Arabidopsis thaliana: one gene and its partners. The protein of the gene in region 3 purifies or fractionates together with the protein of the main gene of each other region. This does not show direct contact. Each region holds a gene or a part of one and is shown on either strand. Other genes may lie near its edges. The genes, in order: AT5G13430, AT2G07727, PPR40 and AT5G25450.

Region 1 (4,948 bases), on a different chromosome or scaffold from region 3:
TTTTACATCAGATGGTTTTAATAAACTTTCTCTAATGTATGATTAATCAGTCTGAAATTAGAAAACAATGAATAAAATAATAAGAGATAGAGCGGTGTCTTATGATAAACACGAGAGGTTGCTTAGTGAGGACCTTTGGCTTGTAATTAGTGTGTAATGGCCGTTGTTAGTTTGCAAGGGTCGGAGAAGTCACTTCCCATATCCCAAAAGGAAAACAACTTACAAGAGATAAGTCACTTCCCATATAGTTCATGGCCGTTGTTGGTGACCAAAACAAACAAGATTTTAACATTTTCATCTCCCACAATGGTTTTTACCCAAATCAAACTTTGGCTTTTGTGTGTCAAACATTTTTTCTTAACTAAAAAAGATTAAACAGAATAAAATATTATGTTTTTGTGTTCTTAGCCAATCTAGAAAAAATCTAGCTATGCCACTTTTGGATGATTGAATATTCATTCACGGGATGTCTTACGAATACAGTTTGAACTTATTCGGTTATCTTCCTGTAAACTATCAATCAAAGCTGATATATTACCTTTTGTTGTTTGTTTCTACGTTGGTTTTTCTCATACCTTTAGTTTTTCTTTTATGAACGTTGAGATACTATCGAAACTCAAATGTAAATACAACTTTTTAATTGGAATGACGATGTTTAGAATTATGAGATACGAAAGGAATCTCACTCATACATAGGACAAATAGGCATGTTAAATAATAAACACAGACTATGAACATAGTCGTCTTTTACTAGCGATGGATAAACGAAGATTGAGTATACTTCAAACAAAAATCACAAGTTTGTATTATTCAGCAAAAACAAGTCAATCTTGCTCTAACATGCCGGAAAATATTAATTAAAAGAAAAAAAGAACAAGTGAAGATCATCATTCAGATCCAGACTCTTGACTGTTGTGCTTTTATTAATCAACCGATGAGTAACTTATTCTCTTCCAGGAAGCTGTAGGTTGGTACTTCCAGGTTGTATGGTGCAGGACCTTTCCTAATTCTTCCAGATATATCGTAATGTGATCCGTGACACGGACAAAACCAACCACCATAATCACCAGCATTAGGCAAGGGGATGCACCCCAAATGAGTGCACACTCCAACAACCACTAACCATTCTGGATTCTTGACCCTAACCGAGTCTTCTTGTGGGTCCCTCAGGGATCCAACATCCACACTATTGGCCAGCTTGATGTCATCTTCTGTTCTTCGCCTGATGAAGACGGGCTTTCCACGCCACTTGACTGTCACGGTAGTTCCTGGTTCTATGCTCCCTAGGTCAACCTCAAGGGATGCAAGGGCAAGGACATCTTTACTTGCAGACATGCTCACAATAAGCTTCAAAACAAGCAGGCGGAGGACAGAGGCATAAACAAACCTCCCACCCGACAAGACAAAATAGGCGAATGCACGCTTGCTAGGGTCACCAGGTGGGTAACGCTCATGGTTATGGTCATCATAGACAATCTTTGAGTTAGGCGTTTTGACAGCTTCGACTGTGGCTGGGACTTCTGAACCAAAACCTATCTCATTTCCTTGAGCAAGGACTTGAGAAGAGAAGCCTGAAAATAGCATGAAACATTAATATTTCACATCAAAGGCAAACTTTATACTTGGTCAAGTGTTCTACAAGAATAAGAATAAGCCACAGGACTACCACAATCAAGATGTGACCATTGATGTATAATCTTCTAAGGAAAAACAAAAGTACATAAAACGGATTCCATGAAGTATGAGATCCATCCAAACAATTCAAACCATCGTATCAAACTCGGGGAGTGGAAACTTAAATACGATAATCTCCATAAAAAAAACAAGAGAACAAATTCAATGATCAACATGGAAACAGAAGAACAAAAAATTGGAATCTAGAAGCCAATGTGAATCACACTATGGATAACGCATTCCAATGATTTACAAGCAAGGAGCTTTAGTCATCAACCAAAGAATTACATCTAAACAGGTCAATCCATAATCCATCAATAAACTCAAATGTTCATTTCCTTCTGGACGAAAGAATGAATCAGAGAAGCCAAGTATACCAAATTCATCCAAACAAATCAATAATAACAAATTCAGTGAAACCTTAAATACTAAAACCAACGTAATAAACCAAGAGAAAAAAATATATTGATCAGATGCTGTATATTACAGAAACGCTTAAAACACAACAAAATTTCCAATGCTAAGAACAAACAAAGCTCTTTGGTTAAGAAAACATAAATTTCAGAATGCAAGTTCCTCAGCATGCCTTTAAACAGCTATAAATCCTACAAACATAGTATACAGTTAAAACATCCATGTCCCTAACAATGAAGAACTCAAAAGGATTGATACACAAGATCAAATTTCAAAAACCAAGAAGCCAGTGGTGAATCATACTATGATTAACGCACCGAAAAGAGGAAACTTTCCTAGTAAAACAAAGGATTATCTCAGAACTGAACAATCCACACGAAAGAAGTAATCATCAAATGCAATACAAATCCAGCAAGGAGAAGAATGTAGCCAAATGGTACATCAAGCTCATGGAATTCAAATCAGATGACACGTTTGTTCCCACGGATCATTGCAGATACAATACTAGAAATCTCAATCATTCCCGTGAATCATACAACCAAAAAAAGAAGACCTTTTCAAAAATCAATCAATCAAATAAAACTGCAAAGAACCACCGAAAATGAAAAATCAATGTAGAGAGAGAGGGAAAGGGTTATAAATCGGCAAACCTCTGATAAGGCTACGGTGGTAAGATGAGAGATCTGCAGAGGGGAGGGATCTGGGAGCTGAAGAGGAGTCGCCGCCACCATCGGAAAGGGTATGGTCACGGGAGACGACGAAGGAGGTCGCAGTCGAAGATCTCTGCGAGACAGAGAAAAGCCTCCTCCCTGCTACACGCAGCATCTCTCAGCTCAAATGTGAATCTAGGGTTTCGCTCTAGCTGAACAGAGAAATCCTCAGGTTTGGGACGGCCGATGCAAAACAAAACATAAGAGACTACTTACTAGTAAGTCCCTTAAAAATTGTCTTTGAGAAAAGGTCAATTTGTTTTGTTTTTTTTGGTTTTTGCGTATTACTTGATATTTTTTTACTTCAGGATTTTGATGGCATGGTTTTTTTTCTAATTTTAATTAATAAAATCTTTTGGTTTTACGATATAATTTTTTTGTGTGTGTGTATTTGTAAGATAAATTATTTTATTTGTATAAAAATCGTAATTTTTAATAATAATAATAGGGGGTCTATACTTGGTAAAGGATATATTTTGTTGTTGTAATGTTTAAACAAGATTTCCAACAAAAAGACTGTTTTACATCTGTGTGAACTTTTCAATACTAGAAGAAAGAGCTAGAAGGACATCATCAAAGAAGTAGTCATCGATGAAAACAATCTGAACAAGAAAATTAGGCTAAGATCCACAACCAGAATATGACATCTTTCATCAAAGTAGTAGTCTCGAGGTTCACAATTGGATTTCTCACTATGGAAGAGAAGGTTTATGGCTTAGTTGAGAATTGAAGGTCTTCGAAATGTCGTCTCCAGTAAGAACACGAAAGTTTTATAACACACCTTGAACCTTACCAAGTTTTTGTCTCAATTGTGATAATGGCTACAGACTTTAAGGAAAGGAAACTCTCTTACAAACGATATGTTACAAAATTACAAACATAAGAAAAATAGGGATGATACTATTCAAAACTCTTTTCAAATAATAAACAGAGACTATGAAGTATGAACAATGTATTTTCACCAGATGAGACAGATACTAAGTCATACAATGACAAGTTTGTATTATTCAGCAAAACAAGCCAATTTTTGCTGAGCCCAAAGTGTGAGGAAAGCGAACTTGCACGCTAAAATGCCGGAAAATATAAAAACAAAAACAGATTTAAGATCATCCAGACCATGACACTCGGACTGTTGTGCTTTATTCATTAACCAATGAGTAATTTATTCTCTTCCAAGAAGCTGTAGGTCGGTACTTCCAGGTTGTATGGTGCAGGACCTTTCCTAATTCTTCCAGATATATCGTAATGTGATCCGTGACACGGACAAAACCAACCACCATAATCACCAGCATTAGGCAAGGGGATGCACCCCAAATGAGTGCATACTCCAACCACGATCAACCATTCTGGATTCTTGACTCTAACCGAGTCTTCTTGTGGGTCCCTCAGGGATCCAACATCCACACTATTGGCCAGCTTGATGTCATCTTCTGTTCTTCGCCTGATGAAGACGGGCTTTCCACGCCACTTGACTGTCACGGTAGTTCCTGGTTCTATGCTCCCTAGGTCAACCTCGAGGGATGCAAGGGCAAGGACATCTTTACTTGCAGACATGCTCACAATAAGCTTCAGAACAAGCAGGCGGAGAACAGAGGCATAAACAAACCTTCCACCCGACAAGACAAAATAGGCGAATGCCCGCTTGCTAGGGTCACCAGGTGGGTAACGCTCATGGTTATGGTCGTCATAGACAATCTTTGAGTTAGGTGTTTTGACAGCTTCGACTGTGGCTGGGACTTCCGAACCAAAACCTATCTCATTTCCCTGAGTAATGACTTGAGAAGCAAAACCTGAAAATAGCATGAAACATTAATATTTCACATCAAGGGCAAACTTTATACTTGGTCAAGTGTTCAACAACACCAAGTATTAAGCAAAAATATTTTCAAGAGATAACACAGAAGAAAGGAATAACACTAGCAAACATTTAACATTAATGCATAGAATAACATAAGATTATAAAAACGGATTCCAAGAGATAACAGAAGGTGTCATCCAAACAATTTTCTACCATGATATCAAATTCAGTGAAAACTAAACTAATCTATCTAACGCAAGATCCAAGGAAGGAACTTCAATGATCATAAATGCTTAAAACATAAGAAAACTCCTAAGATAAGATTGCAAACATAGCCCTTTTGGTTAAAGAT
Region 2 (5,634 bases), on a different chromosome or scaffold from region 3:
GTGGTATGGATGTTTGGAGCTCAATCCATCGAATTCACTCGCTTCTTTGCGCTGCGTTGTAGCTCTTAGATTATTGGGAGGAGGTCATTTCGAATGTTTTGTAATTTGGAATCGTTTTTTCTTCAAGGCACGGCTTCTTGAATCGTCTTTGTCTTGTAGAATGGTTGTCATCTGGAATCTAACTAAATAGTTAGTTAAGAAGACGCGTGCTTTGTTTGGTTTTGATCTGGAATTTCACTATAAGATAAGATAAGAGTGAAGTGCTTTGTTTGGGCAATCTGCCTCCCTAAATCTAGTGGAGGTCCCGGTCCCGCCGCTCCTGTTTGTAATGGGGCCGCTTTGTGCCAAATGTGTAAGTTGTTTTTTCAATCCGTTCTAACTGTAATAAGAGAAGAGGGAAGTCCGTCTAAAGAAATTAGTGAAGGAAAGTTATATGGATGTTCATTAGTTCAGTAAAGTGTTAGTAATGTTGCTGGGAGTAACCCTTTGATCTGATCTGTCTTTGTACGTGTTATCTTGCGAGGCTGTCAGGTTGGCTTGTGAGGATGGGGAGAAAGCGGGCCGAGAATCTTATGTCAAAAGGACCAAGGATGATCTTTTCGGAAAGGAGGAGTAGGAGGAGTCAGCTTATTCTATAGATACTGTAAAAGCCAACTCATGTTTCCACTCAATTTTCATTACGAAGATGTATCACGTCAAGATCCGTTGCTCAAACCGAATCACGCCAACGTTATGGAAGTTCCTGGATCGTGTGAAATAAGAGTAGTACCAAAGGCACCCTATAATTTCATAATAAAAAATGGAAAATTGGCTATGGAGATTCCGCGCGGTCAGAAATTCATACAGACACAAAGGGGTTCGACAGGAAAGTCCTTTCGATCTAATCCATTCTTGGGGTCAAATAAAGACAAAGGATATGTAAGTGACCTAGCACGACAAAGCACTCTCCGAGGGCATGGAATGTCTAATTTTTCGGTCAGAATCTCGACAGTAATGTCTCTATTAGATTTTCCGGTCGAAATACGGAAAAACTCCATTCAATTCTCGATGGAAACGGAGTTTTGCGAATTCTCCCCGGAACTGGAAGATCATTTCGAGATCTTCGAACATATTCGGGGGTTCAATGTGACTATTATCACTTCGGCCAACACACAAGATGAGACTTTACCACTGTGGAGCGGTTTTTTGCAAAAAGATGAGGGGGAAACTCAGTAAGATGTCGTAGAAGCAAAATAGTAGAGATCACAAACGTAGATTGCTCGCGGCTAAATTTGAATTGAGACGAAAGCTTTATAAAGCCTTTTGTAAAGATCCCGATCTTCCTAGTGATATGCGGGACAAACATTGTTATAAGTTGTCCAAGTTGCCAAGAAATAGTTCCTTTGCACGAGTCAGAAACCGATGTATTTCCACGGTCGCCCTCGTTCTGTATCTGAGTTCTTTCGAATTTCTCGTATCGTTTTTCGTGGATTAGCATCTCGAGGTTCTTTGATGGGCATAAATAAATCGTCTTGGTAGCAACCACCAAACCAATAGAACAAAGAAAGGTTAGCTCCGCAGCTGGTCCACAAGCAAGGTAAGTAAGCCCATTACCAGCCGGCTCCGGACCGAAAAGTAACGTATTTAAAACCCTTATCTTGGATCGGAGATGCGAACGGGGCGGGAATCGAAGTGGGGGACCTCTCTACCGCTTGTGTCTATTTCCTGTCAAGTATGCTCCCCATACATAGACTACGTACAGGTAGTACTCTTGGAAAGAAAGATATAATGCATGAACATAACATTAACTTACGAATGTAACTCCCGACCACTCTTCTAAATATACTAAGGCGGAGAACTCTTGTTCATTGGAGCGCCGTAGTGCGGAGGTTCTTCCCATCATGGAAGTCCGAGTTGGGACTGAGCCTTCCGAATGATAATGCTTTGTTTCGTTGGAAAAACCAACGCAAATCTCATATTGACTTTCTATCGCCCTACTTCTAAGGATAGATAGAGAGAGTTACTTTATGAAATTATCTCCCTTCTAAAGCAGCGCAAGTCGGCCCCCCCAGAACAAAGCCCCTACTCCCGAGAGGTATAAATGACTCGACTAAAAGGAGAGGTATTTATTACTCGAGCACTTGTTGCGAGAGGTCCAACGTAATTTATTACTCTTATAAAAGAGGGAACTCGACTGAAAGGAGAGGTTGTTTACATACTCGACTAAAAGGAGAGGTCCAAATGGACTTCTGTGAATTACAGTGATCCAGTCTCACGGATATGGAGCTTCGCCGGAGATGGCAGGGCAAAACCTGATGGACCTTTTTTTTTTTTTTCTCAAGAGGTGATTTCGAGAATCAACCAACCGACGAGACTAATTCGAGGATGTGTTAAAAGAGAGTCTAACCGCCAAGGCAAGTCCCATGGATAAGCCCCAGCCTCCCTCTCGTTTCACTCTCGTTCCTCTCCTTACAGTCGAGCTCCTTTGTTCCTTCGGACCTCTCGCCCAAATGAAATGGGATGAATCCAATCAATAAGCTTATTGATTGATTCAGAGCGCAGCGAAGCCAAATTCAATCAAGGCAAAGGGGGGCTTACTTTTCCTGACGCTGAGTCATCCTATTCAAATTTAGCTATGCTAATGTAACAGGAAAAGTTTTCACAGATGATATGGATCCCAAGAGATGAGCGAGAACCTCCAATTGCTTAAGGATCGCACTCCGCTATCCCGCTTGGTGGACGAGATCTTCTCTCGGGTCATCCATCCTGGGTTACTGAAGGGTTGTCCGACTGCTCGGTGACCGAATCAGAGAAGTTTTGACCGCTTTCTCTTCTCTCCAGCACTCTCGGACTGATCATCCAATCCATCTTGCTGCGACAAAGCAAGCTTAGGAATGAATCTAAGAAATTTAGGTCTCTGCCCGCTTGAAAGATTCTTCTTTCCTTTTCGGTGAAAGAGGGCAAAAGTGTGTAGGAGAAAGAATTCTAAAAACGTCGACGCTTAATTCGCCCCCTCCATCCTTCAAAAGTAAAAGAAAGGCTCAAATATCAATATTATATATATATTTGAGGATATTTTAGGGCCCTAGAACGCAAAAAAAAGGTGGGTGAACAAGAGTTGTCACGATAGGAAAGAGAAATGACTATAAGGAACCAACGATTCTCTCTTCTTAAACAACCTATATCCTCCACACTTAATCAGCATTTAGTAGATTATCCAACCCCGAGCAATCTTAGTTATTGGTGGGGGTTCGGTCCGTTAGCTGGTATTTGTTTAGTCATTCAGATAGTGACTGGCGTTTTTTTAGCTATGCATTACACACCTCATGTGGATTTAGCTTTCAACAGCGTAGAACACATTATGAGAGATGTTGAAGGGGGCTGGTTGCTCCGTTATATGCATGCTAATGGGGCAAGTATGTTTCTTATTGTGGTTTACCTTCATATTTTTCGTGGTCTATATCATGCGAGTTATAGCAGTCCTAGGGAATTTGTTTGGTGTCTTGGAGTTGTAATCTTCCTATTAATGATTGTGACAGCTTTTATAGGATATGTACTACCTTGGGGTCAGATGAGCTTTTGGGGAGCTACAGTAATTACAAGCTTAGCTAGCGCCATACCTGTAGTAGGAGATACCATAGTGACTTGGCTTTGGGGTGGTTTCTCCGTGGACAATGCCACCTTAAATCGTTTTTTTAGTCTTCATCATTTACTCCCCTTTATTTTAGTAGGCGCCAGTCTTCTTCATCTGGCCGCATTGCATCAATATGGATCAAATAATCCATTGGGTGTACATTCTGAGATGGATAAAATAGCTTTTTACCCTTATTTTTATGTCAAGGATCTAGTTGGTTGGGTAGCTTTTGCTATCTTTTTTTCTATTTGGATTTTTTATGCTCCTAATGTTTTGGGACATCCCGACAATTATATACCTGCTAATCCGATGTCCACCCCGCCTCATATTGTGCCGGAATGGTATTTCCTACCGATCCATGCCATTCTTCGTAGTATACCTGACAAAGCGGGAGGTGTAGCCGCAATAGCACCAGTTTTTATATGTCTCTTGGCTTTACCTTTTTTTAAAAGTATGTATGTGCGTAGTTCAAGTTTTCGACCGATTCACCAAGGAATGTTTTGGTTGCTTTTGGCGGATTGCTTACTACTAGGTTGGATCGGATGTCAACCTGTGGAGGCACCATTTGTTACTATTGGACAAATTTCTCCTTTGGTTTTCTTCTTGTTCTTTGCCATAACGCCCATTCTGGGACGAGTTGGAAGAGGAATTCCTAATTCTTACACGGATGAGACTGATCACACCTGATCAGTGAAAAATTCTGACACCAATCATTTACATATTACACCAAGAATTGACAAGCAGATAAGTTTTCTAGTTTGCTATGTTGATATAGCTTAGATAGGGAAAAGATAACTCCACTATAGAGTAGGGCTGTACTTCAAAAATCAAAAAGGGTCCCTCTCCCCCTTTTTTTATTAAAAAATCAAAAAAGAGGCCCCGCCCCCCAAGGCCTAAGGAAAAAACCTCTGATAAAGAAAGAAAAAATATAGAACTAACCTTTACACTATAACCATTAAGTCAAGTTATTAACAATCCTATACTAAGAGGAGAATTCGGATCAGCTCGGGCGGAAGAGGAGAGGCGAAGAAGAAGACAATAAGCACTCAGATTGGACCAACCTTTCATTTAAGGTTCGTCATTATCTTTTCAATCCTGACTAGAATCAGGCTTCTCTTGAAAAAAGGTAAGGAGTTATTCGATATAATATGGTATTAACCCTAGCGCCTAAGTCACCCCCGCAAGGTAGGAAGAAGATAAAGGAGAAAGTGAACGGAGGAAAAAAAGGCGATAAGCGAACCGGCGGGCGGTAAAAACCACAAAGAATTTATATAGAAAAATAGGTACTACCAATATGAAATTAAGAAAGACATATATACCTGAAACAAAATTCTGTAATGACTATGTGACCATGAAGGGAGTAGTTGATTCGCGTTCCAATTCATTGGCAAAATCCGGTATAAATATAATAATATAACGAGATCGTCGTCTTGACAAAGATGAATAGAAAGAGTGCTTTTTTTTTAATGGTAACAATTCTTATTGTTTTTTTTTCTTCGAAGGAAGATCTTTCTTTGACTAAAAAGGTTTCCATTTTTAATAGATTGTTTGTGGTTGTACCTTTACTGCAAGAATATAAATGACTCGCTATTCACTCGAGGTTTCTGGGTCATAATGTAGGAGAGATGGCCGAGTGGTTTAAGGCGTAGCATTGGAACTGCTATGTAGGCTTTTGTTTACCGAGGGTTCGAATCCCTCTCTTTCCGTACCTTTACCTAATTCACCAACGTTACCGACCGCGCAATACCAATCGAGACCTCTAAGACGAACTAAAGGGATGTCTCTAAGCAGCCAAGGCCAAGAGCAAGCAGGAGTGGTCCTATCCGCCCATTCATTTTTAAGTGACTTATAAGACGTGAGAGATACTCTAAAGTCATAACGGGGAAGGCCAGAGACTTCGTTCAAATGGGGGGAGGTTTTCTCTTCAATAAAATGAAAGGCAGGTATTTTTATACGAAAATTGAGAATTCAATAATAAATGTTCACTTGAGATTAGGTTCGCGAAGAAGAAGATCACAAAT
Region 3 (4,769 bases):
CCGACTCTGCCTCTGCCGTTCCACTCTCGTTGTGGAGATATTGTGGCTCTCTCTAGTGTTAGAGAAGAGAAACTTGCAGTGTTACTTCACCGCTGCAATATATCAAGGATGGAGATATGGATTACTAACAAGATTGAGCCCAACAATGTGTCGTGGGGAAAGTTGTTCTTAACAGTGGACATGAAACCACTCATTATTGATGATGGAATTTTCTTCATTGACGAGGAGAAGAAAGTAGTTGTGGTTTTTGATAAGGACAAAGAGATGAGAAACCGTATCACAGCTTACATCATTGGAGAGAATGGATACTTCAGAAAAGTGGATCTCGGAGATTCTGAAAGTTTTCCTGTTAGGTGCTCTTATGTACCAAGTTCAGTGGAAATCAAGCAACTGGCAAAAGGCAAAAGCAACTAGTCCATTTACAATACCCAAATATTTGGTTCTTGCATTGTTTAATTACTACTACTCTTGCTTTGTCTTCTTTTCTCAGCTTCCTGATTCCTGAACAATATTGGTCTATTCTTAGTTCGTTTCTCATCTCTTACGTTGAAAAAAAGATTGTTAAGCATACTAGTTTGAGATCGAAACAACAAAATCATTCAATACTCATGTCCAATATAATCTGGCAAAACTGTTGTTTCCTAAACTGTTACACGGTAAGGGTATAAATTAGGGCCAAGGCTATCTAGTGCTAAACATACAAAATCTTTTGCCTTTTGACTGTCAAGTACCAACCAACTGCCATTACTATTGCCGCCACTTTCTCGGACTCAGAAATATATAAAAGCTTTGATCAATCAAAAGAACAAAACTTAATACTCTGTTCTGCATTTTGCACTCATGTTCTGTTTCTCTTCCGTCTGCATCAAAGAGGCAACCCGTGGCAAAGATCGGGTTCTTTCTCAGACATTTCCAAATGAAACGAACCCACTTTTCCGGTTTCTAAGCCTTCATAGGATATTCACACTCTCGAGGATTCAATTTCTATGAGGCTGACACGGTTTCTCTCGAGAGTCCACTTTTTCTTAGGTCAAGTTCTTCAACAAGACGCTTAGTATATGAATCTGGAACACATCCATGTCTTTCGATTGAACTGAACATCTCTCTTGCTTCACTCTCTCTTCCAGATTCACTTAGAGCTTTGATGAGAGTGCTATATGTAAAGTTATCTGGTTTCAAACCAATTCTCAGCATTGTTTTAAGCAATTCCTCAGCCTTCTTAACCTTTCTCATCTTGCAAAAACTCTGAATAGTCGCATTGTACGCATAAAGGTCTGGACTTAACCCGTTTTCCTTCATCTTCGCAAACAGCTTCACTGATCTATCGGTATCTCCGGTGGAACAACAGGAGCGAATCAAGATATTGTATGTGATCTCGTTTGGCTCAATACCCCATTCCAACATCTCCTTGAAACAGTCAAATGCATCTTTAATTTCTTTTGCTCTGCAAAGACAGTTTATGATCAAACTGAAAGTGATCACGTCTGGTTTGAAACCATGTACAAGAAGCTTCTCTAGCACGCCGTGAACCTTCTTTACATCACCCCTCACGCTATAACCGCTCAGAAAGGTATTGAAAGTTACGAGATTCGGAGAAATACCTCTATCCTGCATCTCTGTTAAGAACATAGCTGCATTCTCTATGCGTCGAGCCTTGCAGAGACAGTCAATTACCGCATTATAACTATATACACTTGATAGAAGCCCGTCAACACCCATTTGTTTCAGATACCGGTCACCTTCAGAGAACCTCTGAGCATTCAACAGAGCTTGAACTAACACAAGATAACCATTGAATCCTGGCTTAACTCCACGGCTGACAAAACCGTCAAATATCCTACAAGTCTCAACAAGATCATGCCCTTTTAGGAGACAACTCATCGCAGCATTGAATGTTGAGCTATCCGGAATATAACCTCTCTCACCTATCTTCCTCAAGAATTGACCAGTCTCTTTAGCCATTGAGTTGTTTGAAAGACAATACAACACAGCATCGTAACCAACTCTTTGCAAGTTTGAGTCTTTCTCCATAAACCCAACCAAAACCTCAAACGCTTTACACGGCGGCAAGCAACGGAAAATCCCGTGTACGAAAGTTCTGATTGTAGCTTCATTAGGATTCAACTTTCTCACCCGCATCATCTCCAATTGCTTCAACGCCTCATCAACCCTCCCTGCTATCAAAAACCCGTCGATCAAAATCGTGTATGTGAACACATTGGGTCTATTCCCTTCCTGTTCCATCTGTTTAACCAATCGAATAGCTTCATCAACCACACCCTTCTTGCAAACACCATGTATAAGTATATTATAGGTAAACCGATCCGGTTTACAGCCATCACTACGCATCTGCTGAAACTTGAGGTAAGCCAAATCAAGTGAATTAGACTTCACCAACGCATCAATCACAGCATTATAAAGCCTTGTACTTGGTTTCATTCCAAGAAAAGATATCTGAGCAAAAACATCATTACAGTACTTAGCTAAACCTAATCTTCCCCAGCTTCCGATCAAAACACACATCAATTCATCACTAATCCGATACCCTGAATCTCTAATCTCTTTAAGCAATTCCATAGACAACAATAAGGGGCCTTTACGAAAAAGTGCGTTCCCTAGAACACTCTTCAGAGACTGATCCTTAGCGTAAACCGGGTCGAAGTTGGAGACCCAGAGGTAAAATCGCAGGGAGTGTAATGGGTTGTCTTGATTCTGCAAAACGCTGATGACGAATCGAGTGTTGAGACCAATTCGATGAGTGGTGAATTCTTGATTCAGTATCAAAAACCAATCTTTTCTCTCTATGACTTGCGAAATGTAACGCTGGTTCAGAGGATTGGTGGGTTTACCTGAAGAGTTTAGGGTTTTTGAGAGCTTAGGGTTTACGGATGTGGAAGCGTTTAGTGATTTGGAAGCTGCTGCCGCCGTCGCTATTCTAGATGCTGAAGAAGCAAAGCCTCTCATGTCGTGACCAGAACGGAGCTGAGTGCAAGTGAAACATTGATTTGGTCTCTAACCTCAAGACGATGTTTCCTAAACGACGCTGTTTAATACACCAATATCAATATGTGTTCGAATTTAATAATTTTTTTTTTAGTTTCAGAATAAATTAAGAAAAAGTCATGACCAAAAAGATCATCTCCTTTGAAACAAACAAAAACAAAAGAATTTTGGTTGATCCTAATGACTCTTCCATTGCCACCATGAAAATGAGGGTTTTCATTATAGTTTATCCATCTCTTGATTACTATGAATTTTAATTTTCTTGTAATAATTATATTTCTAAGTGATAATTTTCTAATTTCTATCTTAAATTGTAGCATTGACTAAATATTTCCATCTTCATCTTCAAAAATATATTATGATAATATTAAGTTATTGCTAATGAGAGATGTAATAAAAAGAGTTGTGATGAAGTCATTATTATGCTATTTATGTATGATTAATAATATGTTATAAAAATTACTATTGCAATATATATAGTTTTCTTATATCATTGCATTTATTTATAAGAATAAGATACAAATCAAGTCCAATAACTTAGAGAAAATAAAGGCAACGCTAGAATCATCAATTTTGAGAGAAAATGGATTTATAAGTTTGTATTACTTTTGACAACAACATTTCACTGGACATGGAATACAAGGAGAACCACACTGTCCACCTTTTTGAAAGCCAGCTCTAAGACAGTCCTTATTACATTCATCATTCCAGTAATCTTCGGAACACCTAATATTGCAGTTGTCAAAAGAGAAGCCTTCGATCCTTGCATCTACACAAGTCCACATATATATCAAACATCATCAATACCAACATGTGTAAATTTTATATCATTCCAATAAAAAATAGTTATATAACATGTCCAAATAAAAGTTTTTAACGAAACTTTTGAATTCATGTATAATATATATATAAACAAAAACGTGATCATAACGAATTCCAAATATTTAGATATATAGCCTTTGAAATGATCACTACTAAATTGCAAAATAGCTAAACCAAACTTTGAAAATACCTGAAGCCAAAACGTTGTTGTTAGGCAACGAAACTGCAAGTATTATTACAAGGAAACATGTCACCAAAGTTTTCGTACTACCCATAATAAATTTTTCTATGAACTCTTTTGAGGTATTCAAATGTTTTTATTGTTTAGGATCTTAAGGATTGACTATTTATATATAACTTTTGGTCTTCAGTTTGTTTTATTACAATTAATTGATGATCCATTTTTGTTTCTCAAAGTTTTTTATTTTTGGCAAAAAAAATCATTTACATTTATGAATATATAATTATTTACAATTAATAATCCTAAATGAGAACTTAAAAATTGAAAAAAGTGTGTGACACTTGTGAATATGGTCAAAGGTAATTTGTTGGATATGTTGTCATTATGTTCAATCAATATCTCAAGTTAAATGCGAGATTTTAATTTCATAATTCAATATTGGAAATTTTTTTTTTATAATTAGGTATATTATAAATTTTAACTGATTTCAAAATTGATATTGACAAAACAAATTGAAAGGAAAATTAAATATTATCTGTAAAGTCATTATTGTTTTTGTTAATAAATATTTTTTAGTTTCATAATAAATTAGGAAAAAGTCATGATGACCAAAAAGATCAATAAGTTGAAAGTTGATAAATGTCTTGTTTTTTTTTTAATCATCTTCTTTGAAACAAACAACAATGGCAAAACAAGATCCCACTAGCAGCAACACGATGCTACCACTCGTAGGATCTGAGTTTGTTCGTCCACAGCCGTTAGA
Region 4 (4,069 bases), on a different chromosome or scaffold from region 3:
TCTTATAGGCATGGGAAACTGTTTTCTAACCGAACAACTTGCAACAATTCCAGGTATATATGAATCTGTGTGAGGAGACACATCAATCCCAAGACGTTATCTCCATCTAAGGAAGGTGTTGGCATGGCCATCGCCGTTAAGAGATTTTACTTAACCTATGAAGAAGCCTTGCAAAAGTGATTTGTAAGAAATTAACCTCTACGAGAGAGACTGATCACTCATATATGTATGCTTAACACGGCAGCCGAGGTTTGTAGGTTGACCTAGAGTTTCTACGACATAACCTGCATCCAAGCTTGGTCAAGCTCATTGGTTACGGTTCGGATGATAATTGTTGTTCATTGTTTCTGAATACTTTCCAAACGGAAGCTTAGAGCGTTACATTTATAGGAGTAAGCAAGCTAGAAAATTGTATTGAGCGCATTTCTTAGAATTTACTACGAACCTCCTGAATACATATTCTCAGGTAAGTCCTCTCTCAAGCTACAGAATGACCATTAAAATTCATACACTAACCTAAAACTGATTGCACGGTAATACGCATATACAGGGAGATCACACATGGCGGGCGATGTATACAGCTTCGGTGTTATACTATTTGAGATCTTAACTGGTTTGGGAAACCCGTGCATCATCTTAGCAGAGGAAGCAACAGAGAATAGAAAAGAAAACATTGTGGAAATGATCGATCCAGATTTAGAGAATAGCTATCGTGTTGAAGAGGGGATGCGTATGTGCAAGCTCATAAAACTGCCTTGAAAGAGATCCCAAGGAAAGACCATCCATGCAACAAGTGCTAGATAATTTGAATGCTATAGCCCATATTTGAGAGGACAAACTAAGGGTTATAAAGGATTGTGGTTCAGAGGTTACACGCCTCTCTTCAGAGCTCCTATGAGGAACTGTGAAAACATTTCCAAAAGCTAGCTTAAGGGTTTGTGTGCCTTTATGTCTTTATGTAGCATGATTTACTCTCCTCCTACCGGTGTGGGATATTTTACTCATATTTCTGTAATAGCTCAATCAAGCTTACATTACACATCCAATTCAATCTCATAAAATCTTATACATAAGGTTCACATATCCATGCATAACCATACAAAAGCAAATTGTGCGGTATTGAAGCCTAAAGAGTACTAAAACAGTGACCCTACTATAAGCACAAGAGAGACTAACATGCTTAAGGAATGGTTCTTTGGTAGAGAGGTAAAGCTCCCAAAGCCTCTCTCTCAGCTCTCTCCCGCTTCACCTGCACATGAAGTGTCGTGTGTTAGAACTTTGCTATATGATTCTTCTATCACTACAAGATAGATAAAACTGTTTTTGTTCTTACAAGAGCCAACATGTCTTGGAGGTAGCTCCTGAATGGAGTCTGCACTGCCTGTGGAATTACAGAGACAAGGAAAAGAAAAAAAGATTTACATAAGCTTCCTATCTCACAACTAACAAGCACTATCTCAAAAAAAACTTCTTTCATAGACAAGATCTTACAAAGCTTATCAAGTTACAATTATATTACAGAACCAAAACAGGTTTCTGAAAACAGAGTGTTCTTGATCCTAATACAAGTCTTAAGTCAAATCTTGCAAGCTCTATCTACAAACTCCATAGCTATATACCGTTTTAGCTCTGTTGTCACTTACTTAGAGACTAAAACATACCTGAAGATTATCTGGGAGGTATTCATGTTTCATAGAAAGATCCATTGCACGCATAAGACGCTGGTTCCGAGCATCAACAATCTCTCTCGGTAAACGATTAAGAGCTTCTTTAATATCCAAATCATACAAAGGATCATAAAGATCGTCGTATCTAAGACCTAAAAAATCGTAAAATTCCCAAAATCAGCCAGAAGAGAATTAGGGTTTGGTTTCTAGGGTAAGAGAGAAAGAAAGAGTACCGTATCTGCGGAGGCGATTAGAAACAGACTTCATATGCATACGAGCTAAGAAATTCTTCCTGGGATCTACTAGTCTCTGGAGAAACGACGCCATTATCTTCTTCGGAGTAACGTTGAAGATGTGAATTGTGATGAAACCCCTTCGCCGCTATTTGTAATTTAACCCGGGAACGAAGAAGGAAGAAGCATCCAGAGACATCTGTTTAAACGCCGTCGTATGAAACTCTAGCCAAACGGCGTAGTATGTACTCTTATCAAAAAACGGCGTCGTATGACTCACCAAATAAAACGCGTCAACCGTTGACTCTCAAACGCGTTTTCGTTGACTTTGCTCCTCGGTGTGAAAAACTAAAAGTCCTCTCTTCTTCATTGAACTCTAGTGTTAAGATTTAGCAGAGAGTATCCGAATGGGAAATTGTCTCTCAGCTTCGACACTTCCCACCGAACCAAATGCTCCCAAATCAGGTATACATATATATATTTCTCTGCGGATTTAAGTACTTTTGATTTGAATGTTACTATAATGGATATAAGTTTTGTTATAATATATGTATAGTGGAGGAGGGTGTGAAAGTCTTCACGGTGGCAGATCTGAAGAAAGCGACTAATGATTTCGGAAACCAGATGGAACTAGGAGAGAGCTTGGGATACATCAATCCCAAAACGTTATCTCCGGCCAAGAAAGGTGTTGGCATGGCCGTCGCGGTCAAGAAAATTTACTTAGCCAATGAACAAGCTTTTCAAGATTGGCTTGTAAGTAATTATATCATCTCAATCTATAGGAGAACCTTCGGCAAAACCAATAATATTGTTAAGTTTCTTGTTACTTATTTATTCTTCTAAATTTTTTGATGTTTTTGGATGGTAAATGTCTATGTTGCCTACCCCTAGAGATGGGTCAGTGTGTCTTAACATTAGAGATGATATTTTTGTAGGTTGACGTAGAGTTTCTACGACATAACTCTCATCCAAGCTTGGTGAAGCTAATTGGCTACTGTTATGATCGTGATATGTTGTTTATTGTTTCTGAATACTTTCCAAATGGAAGCTTAGGAAGTTACATCAGTAGAGGTAAGGAAGTTAAGTTTATTCATCTCCTTTTCGTCATTATATCTTGTGAGTAGACTCAAAGCAAGAAGAATCTTGCTCGAGCAAGACCCAAAGGTAAGAGCTCTTAATAAGAGCTTTAAAACTAGATCTAAAAATTGAGATAGCTCATTAGAGCTTTATTTAGTGGAAGTGAGGAAAATATACTAATTGAAGAACACCAAGCTAAATGATTCCTAGATAATTTAATATCATAGAGAGGGAATAAAGAGAGTTGCTCAAATTGATTTCTGGAGCTCTCACGAGTTTACGATCTTAACCTTAGATCCAATAGTAATTCATCTTCCTTTTGGATTTAATGGTTTATATAATATCATAGATAGTCGTCCAAAGTCATTGCCGTGGGAGACACGACTTAAGATATCCATAGGAGCGGCTCAGTGTCTTGCCTTCTTGCACTCTAGGAAGCAAGCCGGTCTATACCGCAGATATCTCACTGCTTCGAAAATCCTGCTCGACTCGGTTTGTATTCACCTTGCCTTTTTTGTTTTTTTTCTTGAATACTTGCTCCTTACCTTTAAAGTGACATTTATGGGATATGCAGGACTTCAACGCAAGAGTTTCCTATTTTGGAAAGCCAAAAGTTTCTCTCGATGAATTGGTATACACCATCGGGTTTTCAAATGTAGCACCTAGATATCAATACCCACCTCCCGAATACATACTCTCAGGCAACAATCTTCTGCTTCTTCCTTATATCTTAAAGTTAAAAGTGACCATTAAATTCAAAGAGACTAACCTTAATTGATTGCACTAATCAAATGAAGGGATGTCGAACATGGCGGGCGATGTGTATAGCTTTGGTGTTATACTACTTAAAATGTTAACTGGTTTAGGAAAAGACCTCACAATCTCAGCAAAGCGAGAAATAAAAAATAAAAAGTACAACATTGTGGAGATGATCGATCCAGATTTGAAGAATAGCTATCCACTTGAAGCGGGAAGACTTATGTGCGAGCTTATTAAACAATGCCTAGAGGTAGACCCGAAGATGCGACCAACCATGCAAGAAGTGCTAGATAATCTGAATGCTATAGCTCAGATTTGAGGAGAAACTATATA

The links.
Region 1: the proteins of PPR40 (region 3) and AT5G13430 fractionate together in Arabidopsis thaliana (co-fractionation; one study listed by BioGRID). This does not show direct contact.
Region 2: the proteins of PPR40 (region 3) and AT2G07727 fractionate together in Arabidopsis thaliana (co-fractionation; one study listed by BioGRID). This does not show direct contact.
Region 4: the proteins of PPR40 (region 3) and AT5G25450 fractionate together in Arabidopsis thaliana (co-fractionation; one study listed by BioGRID). This does not show direct contact.

The regions. Positions count from the first base shown.
Region 1 is NC_003076.8:4,304,487-4,309,434, forward strand, and holds AT5G13430 (Ubiquinol-cytochrome C reductase iron-sulfur subunit), read right to left. Parts: upstream 3,085-4,948; 5' UTR 2,914-3,084; coding exon 2,739-2,913; intron 1,572-2,738; coding exon 928-1,571; 3' UTR 620-927; downstream 1-619. Other genes in the region: AT5G13440 (Ubiquinol-cytochrome C reductase iron-sulfur subunit), read right to left, coding at 3,945-4,588. UniProt on the Arabidopsis thaliana protein: Component of the ubiquinol-cytochrome c oxidoreductase, a multisubunit transmembrane complex that is part of the mitochondrial electron transport chain which drives oxidative phosphorylation.
Region 2 is NC_003071.7:3,447,745-3,453,378, forward strand, and holds AT2G07727 (cytochrome b), read left to right. Parts: upstream 1-1,789; 5' UTR 1,790-3,118; coding exon 3,119-4,300; 3' UTR 4,301-5,032; downstream 5,033-5,634. Other genes in the region: AT2G07725 (Ribosomal L5P family protein), read left to right, coding at 658-1,215. UniProt on the Arabidopsis thaliana protein: Component of the ubiquinol-cytochrome c oxidoreductase, a multisubunit transmembrane complex that is part of the mitochondrial electron transport chain which drives oxidative phosphorylation.
Region 3 is NC_003074.8:5,767,417-5,772,185, forward strand, and holds PPR40 (pentatricopeptide (PPR) domain protein 40), read right to left. Parts: upstream 3,021-4,769; 5' UTR 2,965-3,020; coding exon 985-2,964; 3' UTR 561-984; downstream 1-560. Other genes in the region: AT3G16880 (F-box and associated interaction domains-containing protein), read left to right, coding at 1-414; AT3G16895 (Cysteine-rich protein), read right to left, coding at 3,606-3,772, 4,016-4,100; AT3G16900 (LURP-one-like protein (DUF567)), read left to right, coding at 4,690-4,769. UniProt on the Arabidopsis thaliana protein: Required for the ubiquinol-cytochrome c oxidoreductase activity of mitochondrial complex III.
Region 4 is NC_003076.8:8,854,961-8,859,029, reverse strand, and holds AT5G25450 (Cytochrome bd ubiquinol oxidase, 14kDa subunit), read right to left. Parts: upstream 2,114-4,069; 5' UTR 1,995-2,113; coding exon 1,901-1,994; intron 1,820-1,900; coding exon 1,662-1,819; coding exon of another isoform or gene 1,644-1,661; exon of another isoform or gene 1,382-1,643; coding exon 1,334-1,381; intron 1,250-1,333; coding exon 1,181-1,249; 3' UTR 554-1,180; downstream 1-553. Other genes in the region: AT5G25440 (Protein kinase superfamily protein), read left to right, coding at 2,308-2,365, 2,457-2,710, 2,836-2,971, 3,327-3,469, 3,552-3,678, 3,775-4,055. UniProt on the Arabidopsis thaliana protein: Component of the ubiquinol-cytochrome c oxidoreductase, a multisubunit transmembrane complex that is part of the mitochondrial electron transport chain which drives oxidative phosphorylation.